Linked DNA regions of Yarrowia lipolytica. The main gene of each other region encodes a partner of the protein of the gene in region 2 in a complex. Links are inferred from orthologs where the notes say so. Each region holds a gene or a part of one and is shown on either strand. Other genes may lie near its edges. The genes, in order: YALI1_D26316g and YALI1_D33640g.

Region 1 (9,232 bases), about 730 kb from region 2:
ATCAAGGCTGAGGACGCCGGCGAGTGGGCTGTTCAGCAGACCCAGCGAGTCTGGACTGCCTGCAACGGTAAGAAGGAGGTCATGATTGCCGAGTCCGGCTGGCCCTCTTCCGGAGGAACCAACGGTGTTGCCGTTCCCTCCAAGGACAACCAGAACAAGGCCATCCAGTCCCTCAAGTCCGCCATTGGCAACGACTGTATCCTCTTCACCGCCTTCAACGACTACTGGAAGTCTCCCGGTGCCTTTGCCGCCGAGCAGTACTGGGGTATTTTCTCCAACTAAGCTTCTTTTTTTGAGTAGCCGTTGATAGCGATGTATTTAGCTAATTGATACCTCTAGAAAAACCAAACAAAGTAACAGATTAATTTAACCATCTAATGTGAGAGTACAAGTAGTATGCATTCTCTGTATTAAGTAGTTTTAACCAGCGAGCACTCAAGTACCTGTACTTGATGGTTAGGTCTTGTACTAGAACTCAGCCTAGCGAGCCACCAAGACTGCGCTCCCTGAAACCACCGAAAAAAAACGCATAGATGCGTCTATTTTGGTGTGGCCTGTCCCGTCATGTTGCGCCGTATTTAGCCACATATGCAGTAGCGTGTTTAGACTGTTGTTGGTCTTGGCGAAATGCGGTGGACTGGCATATCTGGGGCTCCGAAACGGGAATACCGTCCTCGTATTGGCTGCGATTGGCTGGAAACAGTTCTGATGGCCCGGGTGTCACTTGTTGACGTCTGAAGTGTGACGTTCTGGCGTCTCATTTCCGACACTCCTGCAGTCTGCATCGTACAAAGTGAGGTGCAGTGAGGTGCAGTGAGGTGCAGATGCAGAGGACGAGGTCGTTTATTATGAGCTGAAACGGAGTTGGCTGAGCTGGGTAAGATTAAATAAATGAGAACGTACGGAATCAATGATCGAGGGGCCACGGAGGTTCGGGGGCTGGTTTGGTGTAAAATGAGTGTTACGAGCACTTTATGAAGAGAGTGGTTGCCACTTTGAGCATCTCCTACTGCAAATACAACTACTGTAGTTATGTACGATACTTGTACCACTGCACTTTGTCGTTAACAGCCATTATGGTACAGTATCGTACCGTAGGACTTCTCCTGTACAGTGCATACGAGTTCTCGTGGTAATGTAATCTTAGCCATGAGTGTTGGTGATCGGTTATCACAAAACCCGTCCTACATGAAACCGGTGCTATACGCAGTCATCTCGCCGTTGATATCAAACATGTCTGTCTTCTACACGGTGCTTATAGTAGAGACAATCCAGCATTCCGGTTGGGTTCCGCCAGTGTTCCATGGCACCGACTATCTTGGTACTACTGTACAACATTCCATAAACGGAGCTAGAGGAGCTGTAGCTAGTGATTAGTAACCGGAGCTAGAGGAAATACGTGCAAGATCCACGCTAGTCCGAGGGCCGTCCTTCCTATTTGTATATCACGCATCCAGCCAGTATTCCTGAACGGGAATATCACCGTTGGTAAGAGTATTGGACGCATTAGTTCAACTACCGGTACAGTATTTGTAGCCGAGGCTAAGTGACTTGTACCCGAGAAGCTCGTACTTGTAGCTACGAGTCGAGCACAAAAGCTGTGGGCAAGCAATCTATGTCAGAAAAGAGATGAACTACGATACCTGTGATTGTACTACTGCAGCACTACCGGTACAGTGCAGTATGTACTTGTGACCATACTGTATGTATGCGCTGTACTCATACTTACCGTACTCATGGTCTTGAGCATCTAGAGTAATTCGCAACTGGTCTCAATCATATTGTACCAGCTATTTGCACTCATCTCATGCTACTCGTACAAGTAAGTCCCAGTTCTCGCCTTCATGTTCTCACTGCGCCAAACCACCCCCAAGATTGTGTGAAGAGCGGCTGATCAAATCAGATTGTGCTTGCTGTCGACTCAAACAACCATCGCTCACACCAACCGTTAATCTCATAAAATTACAATATAAACACTATCGTCCCCTAGTCTTGGTACCACCACCAATACTCTACTTCGCACCCCCCTTGGCACTCTCTGCGGCCCTCTTGGCTTTGAAAGCCAAGTACTTTGCACTGTGCCCGACTCGCACAATACGCATCTTCTTCGGAGGCTCTCCATACTTGGACAGCTTGAGCTTTCCGTACATGTGCGTGTCTTTGCAGGGCTCAAAAGTGTCGGGGCAGTGCACAGGCGGCGAAATGAACCACTGCACAGCCATGGTTTTCTCTTTAGTAGGCCATCGAGCAACCTTGGACGGCTCGTTCGTCTCGGGATCCAGCTCATATCCTGCACTCAGCTGCTGCTGCACAGCTTCAGGAAGCGTGAAGTTGACGGGGGGACCCACCACCTGAAAGATCTGCTGCTCGCCAACAGGCCCAATAGGCTGCGCATGTACAGGAACAGGACCCTGCATCTGAATGTGCTGCAGAGGAGCAGGGGTGTAATGAGGTGGCAGGGCAGAGTTGGTCCCAGGAACCACAGTTCGAACAGCGGGCTGTTCTGGAGCAGGTCGAGGAGCCAGGTGGCCAGAAGCAGGCTTGGCCCCCATTCCATGAGGCTGAGGGGAAGCGTAGTCACCAGTGTTGTTCGTTCGCTGGAACTGAGGAGGCTCTATGTACTCGTCAGCAGGAGTGGGTTCCTCCGGGGGGTCAGCGGGGTCGAAAGGACGTCGATAAACAGCTCCAACAACAGGAGGAGCATTCTCCACGCCCAGGGTCGCCTCAGGAACAGGATCGTCTTCTCGAGCTCCAGGAGCAAGAGTGTGTTTGATGGGAGAGGGCAGTCGTCTCAGAGGCTGAACCTTTTCAAACAGGTCCATGGCGTAATCCTGAGAGTCTACCTCGTCGGGGATACACGCCTTCCAAGTTCGGATCTTGTTAAAGGTCTTTTCCACCTCGTTGTATCGGGATTCACACAGGTACACCTTTCTGTCACCAATGCCCTGGGGCCGACCTCGCTGGTACCGTGTGAAGAACATGACAAAACACTTTTCCAGAATCTCGTCCACCAGATGGTCTCTGTACTGGCCCGATTTGACCACCTCGTTCTCGTAGAAGACCTTGTCTACTCGATGAACGGTCTGTTCGGGCCGGTAGTACCAGCATGCATTGACCCACTTCTGACCGTCGGGAGCCTGCCAGATTCGGAAGATTTGGCCAATGGTGGGTTTGGAGGGATCATTCATGTTGTGAATATGAACCCAGTCACCCACTCGGTAGATGTCACCTCGATGCTGGACACTGTCCAGGGGAAGGCGTGATGTTTTGTTGTTGTTTCGCGAGGCCAGATCCTGGTATGTAGAGTCAGGTTTTCGCATCTCCTCGTCGGCCAGCAACATCATTTCTTGCTGCAGAATCATGGCGTCGTTGTAAATCTGAGAACCCTCCACGTTGAACTGCCGCGCGTTGGAAAACATAAGGTTCATATCATTGAGAAACGCCTCCACAGTGTCGTACTTGCGTCGCTTGATGTTCTTCTTGATGTTGTCCAGAGCGATGGGCTTGGCAATCTCCTGATAGTACTCCGGGTAGTCTCTCTTTTCAGGCAGCTTTTCGAAAGGGAATGACCGCACCAGTCCCTGTTCGTCACGGGCCTTTCGAACGCCCCGTAAGATGGCCTTGATTCGGTATTCGTGCGGTTTATCAACGATAGGTGGCCGGCCTCGCTTTCGGGGCATGTCATCCATACGGCTTCGCTGCGAGTCCGAGTCCATCTTCTTTCGTGTTCGCACAGACTTTCGTCTCGATTTCCGTCGTCCATCGACGTCGTCATCGTCCGAGTCGTCACTCAAGTCATCCTCGGAAGAATCGGACCCAAACTCCATCTCCACATCGGAACCCTCAGGAAGAGGACCAATAACAGGATAGGTGAGGTCATCGTTGGAAAACTTGTTGGTCTCTCGAAGTACCTCAATAGCCTTGTTCAGGTAGCCGTCCAGAAACACTGCATCGTTGTAGATTCCGGAACCCTTCATGTTGAACAGCCGAGCATTGTAGGTAATCTGGGCGAGGTCGTGAATGAAGTTCTGCACGTTTCGGTACCGCGGCATCGACCGCTTGATCTGTGTCAGCGACAGAGGCCGCTTGATGACCTTGTAGTAGGTTGTGAGACTTCGGTCCGGCAACGAGTGGAACACCTCAAACACCTTGTTGTTGTCAATGTCGTTGTCGATCGTGTAGATGCCGTCAAACAGCGGCGAAATCAGGTCCGAAATGGGCGCGTTGGCCGCGGCGGCCTTCATCACCGCGGGCCGGGCCGTTTCGATCGCGTCCGCGATTGATTGATTCATGTTGGTGGAGGTTGTCTACGCGAAGTGTCGACTGTAGGTTTGAAGGTTGGGAGAAGGGAGCCTAACTATGGGGTGTGATTGGGAGCGTGTGTTCGATCCACGCAAGGGTCGTATTAAACGGGTATTTGTAATGGCATCAGAAATGCAAATTTTGGAGCTTGAGAAAAAACCTGGCAACAGGGGCTCTTTGTTGCATCTTTTACCGGGCTTATAACAGTTTCTCATAGTCTGCTCCGTGTTTTCCACCCCACACATGTTACGCAGGTTTAAATTTCATGCATGAGGAGTCATGTAAGACATCACCATCACCACTACAAGTAGTGGTAGCACACGGAACAACCGACACAAAAGAGCGTGCCAGTACGAGTTTATTAAAAATCAGCCGTGTTCAGAATATCTCGACTCATGCTTTCTTCAGACCTGGAATCGTTCCAGAAACATCTTTTGTCGTCCCGCAAGATCCTGGCTCTTGTTGGCGCGGGCCTCTCTCAGTCGTCAGGCCTCCCTACTTTTAGAGGAGAAGGAGGCATCTGGCGCAACTACGACGCAGCTGAACTTGCCACGCCCGAGGCATTCCACAACGATCCCTCCACGGTATGGCAGTTTTACGCCCACCGAAGACACATGTCTTTGAAGGCCAAGCCCAACCCGGGACACTATGCTCTGGCTGAACTGGCCCGAAGACTGCGCGGACGGTTTCTGACACTTACGCAGAACGTTGACGGTCTCTCGTCGCGCGCAGAGCATCCCCAAGAAGCACTTTTGAAGCTTCATGGAGACCTGTTTGCTCTCAAATGCACGTCCTTCTTCTGTTCATACACCACCGAAGACAACTTTGCAGACCCACTAACGCCGGCACTAAGTATCACCGACAACTACAACTCGGCACAGCTGCAGCGCCACCGAATACCCGTCGAAGATCTGCCCACATGTCCTCAGTGCAAAGAGGGTCTGCTGAGACCCGGAGTGGTGTGGTTTGGAGAATCGTTGCCGTTCAAGGTCATGAACACTGCCGATGAGTTTCTCGAGGACGAAGACGTGGATTTGATTATCGTAGTCGGCACATCGGGAAGCGTGTGGCCCGCTGCTGGCTACGTGGAGCGAGTGGCCCTCAGCGGAGGTAAGGTGGCCATCTTCAACATGGAGATTGACCACTACCAGTATGGAGAAAGTGAGGCCGAAACCACGGACTCCGAAGATAGCAGCAACGAAGACGCTGTGATTGAGGGATGGGCCTTCAAGGGCAACGCCTCCGAGTGGTTGCCAAAGGCTCTGGAACCTGTTATTGGGCGGGCCTTTATGAAGAGAAGAAGTTAGACTGGAAACGGGAACTTGTGGACCAAGTTTAGTGTTAAATTGCATTATTTATGAGTATTTTTAGGGCGTATGAACTATGTAGTCTAGGGTCTTGTAGCCATGTTACAAGCGGCGTTACTGTTAAGAGATAGAAATAGAGTGATCACGAGGAACCAGGGAAGTTGAAGAAGTTGATCCAACTACTTGTCCGTGCGAGAGATAACTACTTCTGCATTTATTCTATATCGGCATGTGGAGTACCAGCAATCCTTACCTCACACAACGCTTTGACCAAGTGGAGGATGGAATGTATCACGAAATAGATGATGGACAACAGAAGACATTTTGAAGATCACCGAATGAAGTTTTATATTCTTTTTTCATCTTGTTTTCATCTGGAATACGCCTTATTTAAACCATTCAAAATTTCTTGAGATATTGTCCCATTTTTTTATTTTTTTTATTTTTTTATTTTTTTATTTTACGGAATTACATTTCAACAACTACTTGAGGCCTAAAAACAGTGTTATACCTGCAAATCGGATTCGGATTCGGTTGTTTAGAAGAGCGCATGATATTCGTGTTTGCTGGTCCATTCGCGCTTTTTTAATTTATTCTAATGATTCTTTTTATTCTAATGATTCGCCGGTTTGGAACAGTTTTCAGATATGGACGAACACTGCCATTTTTTAACATAATTCCGGGTTTCTTGGTCTAGTTGGTCATGGCATCTGCTTAACACGCAGAACGTCGGCAGTTCGATCCTGCCAGAAATCACTTTTTGCTCCCCACGCTGGTCCTATAACAGGATACATTCCTGCATCTGGCTTGATTCACGATATACAGTATGTACTGCATAAAGACTTTATGCATGCACGTCGTGGACTGCATGCATATCAGCAATTTTTTTGCTCCTAGTGCAATTTCATTTCTTCCGGGTTTCTCCGAACTGTAACAGCATGTAATATGGTCATTCAAGGCAACGGAAGGGGATGGAAACGAGATGATTTGAGGGAAAAAGGGCAGTTGACGGAAACGAGATCAATTGATGGAAACGAGATCATTTGACGGAAAAGAGGTACTGTACATTATTGCAACACATGCCATAACACCCGTCTATAGTCCTACTAGCATTTCAGCAACATATCGTATTACTAATTTTCCGGTCGCGCTATCAACATTTCCGAGTGTCCATCTATGTACACTGTGATGTGTAGAGCTACGGTGCGAAGAGATATCAAGTAACACCATTCATGAAAGATAATCGCAAACTCAGATCAACTGGTCTAATGATCCACTACAAGCAGCAAAGACAAACCCATTGACACTCAGACACAACACAATCATGCCTCGTTGCTTCTTCCACCTAACTGTGTCATGCTTGATCCGATATGACTGCCGTCTGTTCTACATGTACAGTAAGATACTATACACTCGTGCAGCTGGAATTCGTACTTCGCGGAGGAGTATCAGTGGAAGCACTTCTTCAGCCGTTTCTTTAGACATTCACACACCTTGATAGTGCACCCCAGATCAGCTCTTGATCCAAGAACATTTCGGCTTTACCAGTTGGCACTTTGTGATCTACGACCAAATGAAATCTACTTGTACTTGCTCTAGTTCGCCCGTCACCTACGGCCATGTACTCTACAAGTTGGCTTGCGACCTGACCTGGCCACTCGCTACCATACAGTTCAGTCATTATTATCTACTACTAAAAGCACCACTAAAAGCGCTTAAAAGTGGATGGCCTTGTCGTAAGTGGCCATGGCGGCCTCCTTGAAAGCCTCGGAGAGAGTGGGGTGGGCGTGGCAGGTTCGAGCAATGTCCTCGCAAGAAGCACCGTACTCAAGGGCAAGAACACCCTCGGCGATCATCTCACCGGCGTTGGGGCCAATGATGTGGATACCGAGAATTCGGTCAGTCTCCTTGTCAGCAATGAACTTGACGGTACCCTCGGTGTCGAGGTTGGTCTTGGCTCGAGAGTTGGCGGCAAAGGGGAACTTGCCGACGTTGTACTTGATGCCGGCCTCCTTGACCTGCTGCTCAGTCTGTCCAACCCAAGCAACCTCAGGGTGGGTGTACATGACAGAGGGGATGGCGGCGTAGTTAACGTGGCCGTGACCGGTGGCAATGTACTCAGCGGTAGCAACTCCCTCCTCCTCGGCCTTGTGGGCCAGCATGGGGCCGAAAGTGACGTCACCAATGCATCGGATGTTGGACTTGTTGGTTCGGTACTCCTGGTCGATGATGATTCGGCCCTTGTCGTCCTTCTCGACACCGGCAGCCTCGAGGTTCAAGCCCTCGGAGTAGGGTCGTCGGCCAATGGCAACGAGCAGAACGTCGGCATCAAGGGTCTCCTTGTCGCCCTTCTTGACGTTCTCGACCTCGACCTTGACACCGTCGCCCTCAATGGCACCGGAAAGCACCTTGGTGCCAAGCTTGAACTTGATACCCTGCTTGGTGAGCATCTTCTGGGCGGCCTTGGCGATCTCGTCGTCCATACCAGCGCCAATGGCGTTCTGGAACTCGACAACAGTCACCTCGGAGCCGAGTCGGGACCAGACGGAGCCCATCTCGAGACCAATGATACCTCCTCCGATGATGACCATCTTCTTGGGGACGGCCTCGAGGGCAAGGGCACCAGTGGAGGAAACAATCTTCTTCTCGTCAATGGTGATGCCGGGGAAGGGGGTGGGCTCAGAGCCGGTGGCAATGATGATGTTCTTGGCCTTGAGGGTGACGGCCTCGCCGCCATCAATGGGGTCGACCTTGACCTCGGAGTCGGACACAAAAGAACCGGCGCCCTTGTAGTAGTTGACCTTGTTCTTCTTGAACAGCATCTCGATACCGCCGGTGAGACCCTTGACGGAGGTCTCCTTGGCCTCCTGCAGCTTGGCGATGTTCATCTTGACGTCAGAGACCTCGATTCCTCGGTTGGCGGAGTCGGTTTTGATGGCGTGGTACATCTGGGAGTTGTTGAGCAGAGACTTGGAGGGGATACATCCGACGTTGAGACAGGTTCCTCCGAGGGAGCCTCGCTTCTCGATACAGCCGGTCTTGAGGCCGGCCTGGGCGGCCTTGATGGCGGCGACGTATCCACCGGGGCCACCTCCGATAACAAGGACATCAAGCTCCTCGTTTGCTGTTGTTAGTATTTGCCTTGTGTGGGGTGGCGGACGCTGGCCGGAGGGGTGCAACGGGGCGACTATGGTGCAGACAAAAGACAGTGGCACAATTCGCAATTCAAAATGTCCAATTGACACGTCTCATGTCCTTTTCTCATTGCCTCTTCCCATGGATCCTTGTGTGTCGTCGCGGCCATGGTGGTATCGCATCGGGGGAGTTTTTTCCCCGTAAAAAAGCCCTCCCTGTCGCACAGATACTCACCGGAGCTGTAGCATCGCTGGAACTGGGTCACAGCTCGGGTTCGGGCAGCAACGCCGAACTTGGAGGGAAGAATTCGAGTGGTTCGCAACATTGTCGTGTTGGAAATATGTGTGAATTTCGGAAGGGTCTGGGTGAGTTGTTAAACTATGCGTCTCTGTAGGTGCGCTCCTCGCAGCAGACTTACCCTGCTCTTGTTGGGTCCGGAACAATAGTCAAAGGCAAATGTCACATTTGAGTTCACACACTCTCCTGCC
Region 2 (8,300 bases):
GCTGTTCAGGAGATCTCCGGCGACTTCACTGGCTGCGAGTCGGCCTACACCACGTCCATTTGGATGCTGGAGGCGCTTCTGGAGGATGACGAAGATGGACTTGGCGAGGAGGATCGCAGAATTGTGGAGCGGTTCATTAGTAGTATTACTAAACGGTTGGTGATACTGAGGGGTCAGCAGGAGTAATTAGTTCTATGTGGGGGCTGCGAAGACATTGGTAGCAGTGACGTCAGTGGTGACAGAGACGACAATGGTAGCAGCGCCGACAGTGGTAGCAACAGCGCCGGCAACGGCAACACGACAAACTAACATAGGTATATTTATAGTGACTAACAGATTTGAGTTGACATATTCGGACGTATGGAGCAGGAGGTGGGCTGATTTGATGTTTTGAGATTGCCAGAAAACTGCTTTGGTGAGGCCAAATTAAAACTCTTGTATGGTGGAAGTTGTTGGTCATGTTTTTCTTTTTTTCTTTTTGAAGAATCTTGACTATCAAATACCCGTTGAAATTTCTTTTTGATTTTTGATTTTTGATTTATTTTTGATTTTTGATTTATTTTTTTTTTTTTATTTTTTATTTATTTCATTTATTTACATTTATTTACATTTATTTACATTTTTTTACATTTAATTTACATTTTATTTATTCATATTTATTCATATTTATTCATATTTATTCATATTTAATTCATATTTTATTTATATTTATTTATATTTTTTTATATTTATTATTTTATTTATTTATTTTTGATTTACGGACATGTGGCATCCTCATTCTGCTTATATTGGGATTTGAGACGGGAATCAGGATATGATGGATAGGAGTTGGCAATAAACTAATTATACGGAATTGATTCTCTTGACGCAATTATTTGATTCCCGTTGTATTTGTTTTATTCCGATATATATCCATCAGTCTAGAACGACATGTATTCTCCACCCCCTTCAACATAAAATGTAAGTCGAGAGTTGCACAAGTGAGAAGGTGGTTTGTGTAAACATGAGCTTTTGTGGACATGTATTTCACCGATTAAACTTGGATTATTTTGGTCGGTGAAGTATTCGGGATTTCAGATCAGATGAAATCTTTCTGGTTTGTTATGAGGCTTCATGCTAGTTGAACTACAATTATATAGTTGAGAGTCTAGTTAACCCAAGTATAGTCTCATGGATTTCGGTTCGAGAAGATAATTCCATTCCTGAAACAATTCAGAATAGTATAACCCACATCTTCTCTCAGAATCAACATGGCAAAACCGTCATACCACTGCTGAACATGCCTGCTCCCACAATCCAAGCACGTGAAAGTGTTGCTGTTCGAATTTCCACCTCCGGTTATTCATTCCTCAACTATACCCTAACAAAACCAACTCTTTTGGTTGGTACCCCAAACAGATTTTTGTTCTCGGAAGCCTTGTGCACCCTTGTACAATTGGTTCGGATAGAACAGGATCTGTTCTGTTTGTTGTTGACTACTACGATTCGGATTATTGCATCACTGCAAGACCTTGTAATACTACTGGGTACTCCACTAACATTCCTCATCTGCCCAACTCGGTCAACTTCTCGAAAGCCAGGGCAAAATGGTCCCGCCACAGCTCCTCAGATACGGCGTACTGATCGACCCAGAAACGGAAATTGGCATCCTCAATCAGACTCATGTCCGAGGGCATCATCACCTGACCGGTGCTGTTGACGTACTGCTTCCGTCCAGTAGGCGAGTCCACCAGAGTCCAAACGTTGCCTAACAACAACTTGTAGAACTCGTTGTCACACTTGGCTGGATTAGAAGTCCACGGACCATCGAAGCCGGACCGATGAGGGTGCAATCGGCCTAGCGAATGAGCACCAATCAAAGCGACTGTTTCCTGGTCGTTAAACCCCATTCGGGAGAAGATAGTCCGCACGTGGGACGCATCTCCCCCGCCCAAGGGTAGACGGCCGTTCGGGGGCACCAGAAGGTCGTCCTCGTAGTCAACTCGGCCATCGCGCCACTTAATTGAGGGACCTTTGCACGCCTCAATTGAGACCACGCCGGCAAGAATCCATAGGTCCGCGTACGTGATCCAGGGGTGTTTGCGCTTGATGGGTTCTAGAGACAAACGGGCCACTTCAAGCCCCACGTTGCCCTCATCGCTGGCTTCAAGATGGTACCGCATGGTCGCACCATTGGACCCTCCCGTGCGTGTGTACTTGTCATAGGTGGCGCAAGAATGCCACGCCAGACGGATCAGCAGAGGGGCAAGAGTGCCGTCCTTAAACACGGTAGTGTTCTTCTGAGGAAGAATATTGTGGAGATCTGCCCGCACAAGATTGTAGTTTTTATTCCGAACAGACACCGCCAGTCGGGCAGACTCGCGAAACTGCACTCGTAAGTAGGCCGAATAGATGATGAATACCCGATGTTTCTGCTCGGACACACTGGGGTAGTTCATGCCGGGGAGATGTGAAGTTAAGTGGTGGTAGAGTGTTTCTGACGTGAAAGTTGTCGGTCAGAAGTCTGAAGTATCCTGCTATATAGAACTTCTCTGTGCCAGGTATCAAGAGACGGAGGAGGTATGTCTGGATGGGGGCTTGAAGCTATGGTAAGCCCTTGAGAAGATGAACAGAGGCAAGTGTGGGTTACGTCTTGAATGTCGTAGGAGGAGTCTCTGAGCGGTATCTGAGGTGTGCTGAGAAGGTGTATCACAGGTAGAGAATTAGAGCTGATGAAATAATGCTCGGGTTTCCTCTGGAATCAAAGACGTTTGTAAACTGGTATCACGTAAGTTATGTCGCTGGGTGAACAAAGTCGTTTTGGTCTTTGTGGCTACCGTAGGTATCTAATAAATACTCAGGCAGAGAACGGTATGTGTCACAGACTTCCGATGGTATCAGACGGTCTGTCGTAAGTTCAGTCCAGTACAGTAGTGAGTTTTCAAGATGTTGGAGCTGTTAGAGCTTTTGGATCTTTGTCAGAGATAGAGCACTTCTATCCGGTACTAGGCAGGTGACGGTGTGTGCTATTGTAGAAGTTGTTGCGACTGGAGCGACGATTGTGTCTAGGATTGGAAAAACAGCTGTATCGCTGATGGAAGGTTGAACTGCTGGCTGTTGAAGTTGGAGTAGAAGTTGGAGTAGGATAAAGTGATGATGGAGAAGAAGAGTTGAAATGAGACCCAAGTATCGAAATAAGGTGAAGAGAGGGGCGGTGAGGGGTGGTGAGGTGCAAAGGTGAGTTGCAGGATTATTTAGCGAGAATATAGACAACAGCACTGCGACTAAATCTCGTGATGTTTTTTTTGTAACTCTGCGATTCTGTTTGTGTCCAGAAACACGAAGTCTGGATCAAAAAAAAAAAAATCTCAAAGACATCCCGACCGCCGTTTCTTACTGGATCTGAAGCTCATCTCCTGTTTGTGGTTTCATGAAGATGTCTAATTTTAATGAATTTTTAATATTTTTAATATTAAAGATTTTAAATTGAGTTTTAATGTTGTTTTTTTTGAGAAATACAATTAATCTTGAATATATTGGTTTTGTGTCACTTGCCTAAATCTACATATAGCACCGTGTCCCCGTCCCTGTTCCCTTTATCATCCCTGTTTCTTATCTCCGCCCTTTCGTTACCACCGCCCTCTGTTCGTCACCACCGCTTAGTCACAAACTTTCTGCACCTAATTCCCACCTCCCAATTCCATCACCACCAACACACACATCTGTTGTTCACCACATAACAGATATCGCACTTCCAGCCAGTCACATGAACGCAATCGACAAACACTACACACAAAAGCCGACGGACAAGAATCTGTCGGCCAAATTCGACTCGATTCTGCCGGATACAGCGGTGTACCGGAAACTACAGGACCTCGAACGACGCATGGACGCGACCTTCACACGCAAGCGGCTGGACCTCGGCGACCTGCAGGCTCGTATGCTCAAGCAGAAGAAGACGTTGCGGCTGTTTGTTTCCAACACTGCGGCGCACCAGGCGTGGCAGATCGACCCGGACAACATGGGTGACTTCCAGCCCCCGTCGTGGACGCTCAACATTGAGGGAAACGTGGAGGGCGAGGACAAGCCGTTCTCTTCGTATTTTACTAGTATCTCCGTCGAGGTCAACGGCGAGATTGTTGAGTGGCATGAACCCCAGGGCGAGCGACCTGCGCCCACAGAGGAGCTGGCTGGCGACGTGACGGGCAAGGATGTAGGCTTCGACGTGTTCAAAATGACACGTGAGGGCTCGGGCCAGATCCCTGCGCGAATCGTGCTCCAACTCAAGGAGTACCCCGATCGAGCGCGTCTGTCGGAACCTCTGTCGGAAATTTTGGCGCTGGACGAGGCCTCCAAGTCGGACATCATCCTTGCTCTGTGGCAGTACATCAAGTTCCACGATCTGCAGCAGACCGAGGAGAAGCGAAACATCAAGTGTGATGAGCCGCTGAGACAGCTGTTTGGACGTAACACTGTAACTTTCCCGGAAATTATGGAGCTGATCACGCCCCATCTTCTACCCAAAGAACCCCTGGTCATCAACTACACCATTGACACAGACGTGGAGAACAACCTGGGCGAAACCGTGTTTGATTTGGCACTCGAGTTTGACGACGACATCAACGCTGAGATTGGAAAGATCACCAAGCACTGGTTCGACAACCAGGAGGATATTTTCAAGTTGGATGAGCACATCGCGCTGATTATTCAGCAGCTCAACAACACCAGACTGAAGAGGGAGTTCTTCAAGCAGTTTGCTGCCAACCCGTCGGACTTTCTGTCCAAATGGAACTCGTCACAGGCACGTGACCTCAAGTTGCTGTCTGGCGACCGAGGTTTCAACGAAGAGGAGGTCCGAAAGTCGTCCTTTTACACAGACGAGTTCATGGGCGAGTCTGCTCATCTGTTGTTGGCCCGACGGTAAAACACGGTGTTTAGGATTGTATTAATGGAAATAAATGTATTATATGGCTATAAGGAGTAAAGGAGTTGGTCGATTAATCAGTTGCAGGAGGACTGTTTTTTGCGGCCATACAGAGGTCATAGCAATGGTTCTGAGTGGAGAAGATGTGTTGAACCAGCCTGCTTTAAGAGCTGTCTAACGCCGGTGAAACGAACCGTCTGTCTAATAACGGTGGTTAGCTGAGTCTTTCGCTTTTGTGAGGTGGACAGCACACGTTTTTCACTCCAACCCAGGTCCACAAGTGTCATACTGCATGTTTTGATGGTGTCCCTGACAGGCGCTGCTTTTCGATGGCGGGTCAGTTGTTTCACTCGTCTGTGGGATAGGGTATTCAGGTTGTCAGAGAATGTAGCTCGATGGGAATCTGCGATGATACAAGAACCAAACTGGAGTTTAGCTGTGGTATCACGGGGGTGATGACGATTGACGATTTGACACGGCTGGGACAAGACCTTGATCGCAGTCCAACCAGAGCTCAGTTGTGGTGTTAGTCAACATGAAGACGAAATGATGTCACAGATGATATCTCTGGCACAGATACCTGTTCACAGTCACTGTCCCGCACGGGTCAGGCTTACAGTCGCCATCTTGCACACATGTCATACCCATAGCCATGATCTCACGCAAAGGTCGTGCCACTAGTACCTCTCTCATGGCTTCAGTCCACCCTGCGACACCATCCGCCCCGGCTCTGGCGACAGTATGAAACGAACTGAGCATGATCGAGTGAATGTTCAGGAGAAGGGACGTCTGAGAGGAGGACTGGAGCCGAGTACCTATTCATGTCCGCGTCTGAGGGTGGGTGCTCTTGGAGCTATGTAGCGGTATCTGTTTGTGTCTGAGGTGTATCCCTGGAAGCAGGCGATGACGTGGCGGCGTCTGTCGATGATTTTGTCATCAAATGATGCATATTATCGTCGCCCAAACCGTCAGTGGTTGAACTGTGGGCAAAACCATTGCTCAAATCGTCGGCGAAATCGTTCCGGTGGTTCTGTGGTATCTCTGTTTGGATCTCTGTTCATGTCTGTGTCTGAGTGATGTGGTAGAGTAGAGAAGAGTTTGACACTCTCCTTTCATTTGCGGCGGTTATTCCCCAGGAGATTTGGCCGTCCAATATTATTCTCAGGCATGTAATCATAACCAATAAATTATATAAAACAAATAAAACAAATAAAAATAAAATAAAAATAAAAATAAAAAAAAATTAAAAATAAAAATAAAAATAAAATAAAAATAAAAATCAATATCAAAATCAAAATAAAAATAAAAATCAAAATCAAATCAAAATCAAAATCAAAATCAAAATCAAAATCAAAATCAAAATCAAATCAAATCAAATCAAATCAAATCAAATCAAAACATCCGTTCCGCTAGACTACAAGTACCGCTTCAAAAAACCCTACCTCGGTCACTGGTACGATCCACTCTACCAACTGAAACACACCTTTCGATGAAGACAAAGGCCCAACTCCAGTCTCAACAAAACACCCTTTATCCTCCATCGGCCGAGTCGGCTCGGAGTCGGAAAAAAAATTGTGTTCGAAAATGAAAGGACAAGGACTCATACCAACAGACAATCAGCAAGTATCGAACAGGTACAACCAGCAGCTATGCACAAATATCCGATCCGGAACTTTGTCGACGGATAATTCCAATACCGCACTACAAGTAGGAGACTGATGTAGTATGTACATACTTGTACGACTCTTTTCCTCATAGTTTGGTATCAGAAACGAGCGCCCAATAGATGACGTCACGTGACATATTCTGGTTCCAAGCCGCCAACAAAGAGCAACGCTTGGTTCAAAAGGAACGACGGAGCAATTCCCAGAGTTTGGATGTATGTACTTGTGGTATGGTTCAACCCCCCCCCCCACGCCGCCCTCCTGAGGTTGAGTGTAGGATGCTCCACTTTCGACGGTTAAAAAGGCGTTCAAAACAACGTTCAAAACAACGTCAATAGCTGTCTGTCTACTCAATTGATATTTGTGGTCTTTTTTTCGTCCTTCTCCACTCGCTCTAATGTATTTCGTACCATGTTCTTCACCTCCTTCCTCCGGCTCCACTCCGACCGGAACAAACATCCGACTTTATGTATAGAGTTGGGTAAGGAAAGGGTGATTTGGTCTGTGATAGTGAGATACTATATTCTTACAGATTGCCGTGGCTTGAGAAACTTGAAGGGCAGGGTTGGTAACTTGGTGCGTTGTTTTTATCTTTTTTTTCTCTTTTTTTTCCGCTTTTTTTCCCTTTTCTTTGTATTTTCCGTTTTTCATTTATTTATTTTATTTTATGTTATTTTATTTAATCTACATCCATCGATTACCACTCTTCAGCTGAGTCGAAACTTGCCACAATGTGGCCTCCACAAATAACCCAATCCCGCCTACAAAATAACCGTGCATTGCACCACTCCAGACTGCACCATGCCCCATACTGACATACGGCGTAACAGCACATCACACTTTTGAGGCAATTGTGAGCCGCCGAAAAAGCGGGGTTCGGAAAAATTGGGGAGAAAATGCAACAAATCAATGGCCATCTGCACCATATGCTCCGTATGCACAAAACGTGCACCAGACTTGCACCAGACATGCATCCAGTCTTACCCCGTTACGTAAGTCTGCATATTGACGCATTGCATTGCACTGCACCACTCCGTACCCCACTTTAGAGAACCTAAAATATCTAGCCACCGTATTTCGCTCGTCGTGACTGGTTACCAACACTTCCTCCTCACAACTCTGCGCCCAAAAACATGAACTTCGCCACCCGACAATTCTCCTCCAGTGCTCTGGCGGCAGCCAAACGGCTGCCCTCGTTCGCAGGCATTCCGTCGGTGGACATGAAGAAATATACACAGGACCTGGGTGAGTATCGTAGCAGCGCATGGGTGCACAGGCACCAGATGGAAGAGACGGACAAGAGAGAAAAAGAAAGAGCAAGAGATGGACAGCGCGAGCGAAAGCAAGACCAAGCGTCGATTTTGCGGTTTTGTGGTTTTGTGGTTTTGTGGTTTGGGGTTTAATGCGGAGATTGCGGTTGGTGGCGACTCTTTTGGGCTGTCTGTCGGGAAAACTTCGGGGGGCAGGGGATCTATTATCCGGCCGACTCCTTAGCGAAAGATGCAAGGTGCGTCTGTGGTGTCGACGTTTCGGAGCAGGGCTTCTTGGCGTGGTGTCATTTGCGAGATGGGAGGTATATGAAGGCGCAGGATGGCGTGTTTCTCGCTCGTTCCATTTGCCCTCTATTACACTACCCTCATTGTCACCACCTACACCACGTCGTTCCCATCACATTCACGACAAATTCACCACAGCCTCGACGTCGTCACCATATAACCTCTGTCGTGCCCATC

The links.
Region 1: YALI1_D33640g (region 2) and YALI1_D26316g share a complex: the UniProt entries of both Schizosaccharomyces pombe proteins name them as parts of the RSC complex. The link is inferred for Yarrowia lipolytica from reciprocal best matches to the Schizosaccharomyces pombe genes ssr3 and rsc1.

The regions. Positions count from the first base shown.
Region 1 is NC_090773.1:2,627,299-2,636,530, forward strand, and holds YALI1_D26316g (uncharacterized protein), read right to left. Parts: upstream 4,293-9,232; coding exon 2,013-4,292; downstream 1-2,012. Other genes in the region: YALI1_D26263g (uncharacterized protein), read left to right, coding at 1-282; YALI1_D26320g (uncharacterized protein), read left to right, coding at 4,698-5,609; YALI1_D26360g (uncharacterized protein), read right to left, coding at 7,325-8,733, 8,979-9,069. UniProt on the Schizosaccharomyces pombe protein: Component of the chromatin structure remodeling complex (RSC), which is involved in transcription regulation and nucleosome positioning. Controls particularly membrane and organelle development genes.
Region 2 is NC_090773.1:3,359,343-3,367,642, reverse strand, and holds YALI1_D33640g (uncharacterized protein), read left to right. Parts: upstream 1-3,745; coding exon 3,746-4,903; downstream 4,904-8,300. Other genes in the region: YALI1_D33696g (uncharacterized protein), read left to right, coding at 1-186; YALI1_D33653g (uncharacterized protein), read right to left, coding at 1,545-2,438; YALI1_D33599g (uncharacterized protein), read left to right, coding at 7,832-8,300. UniProt on the Schizosaccharomyces pombe protein: Component of the chromatin structure remodeling complex (RSC), which is involved in transcription regulation and nucleosome positioning. Controls particularly membrane and organelle development genes.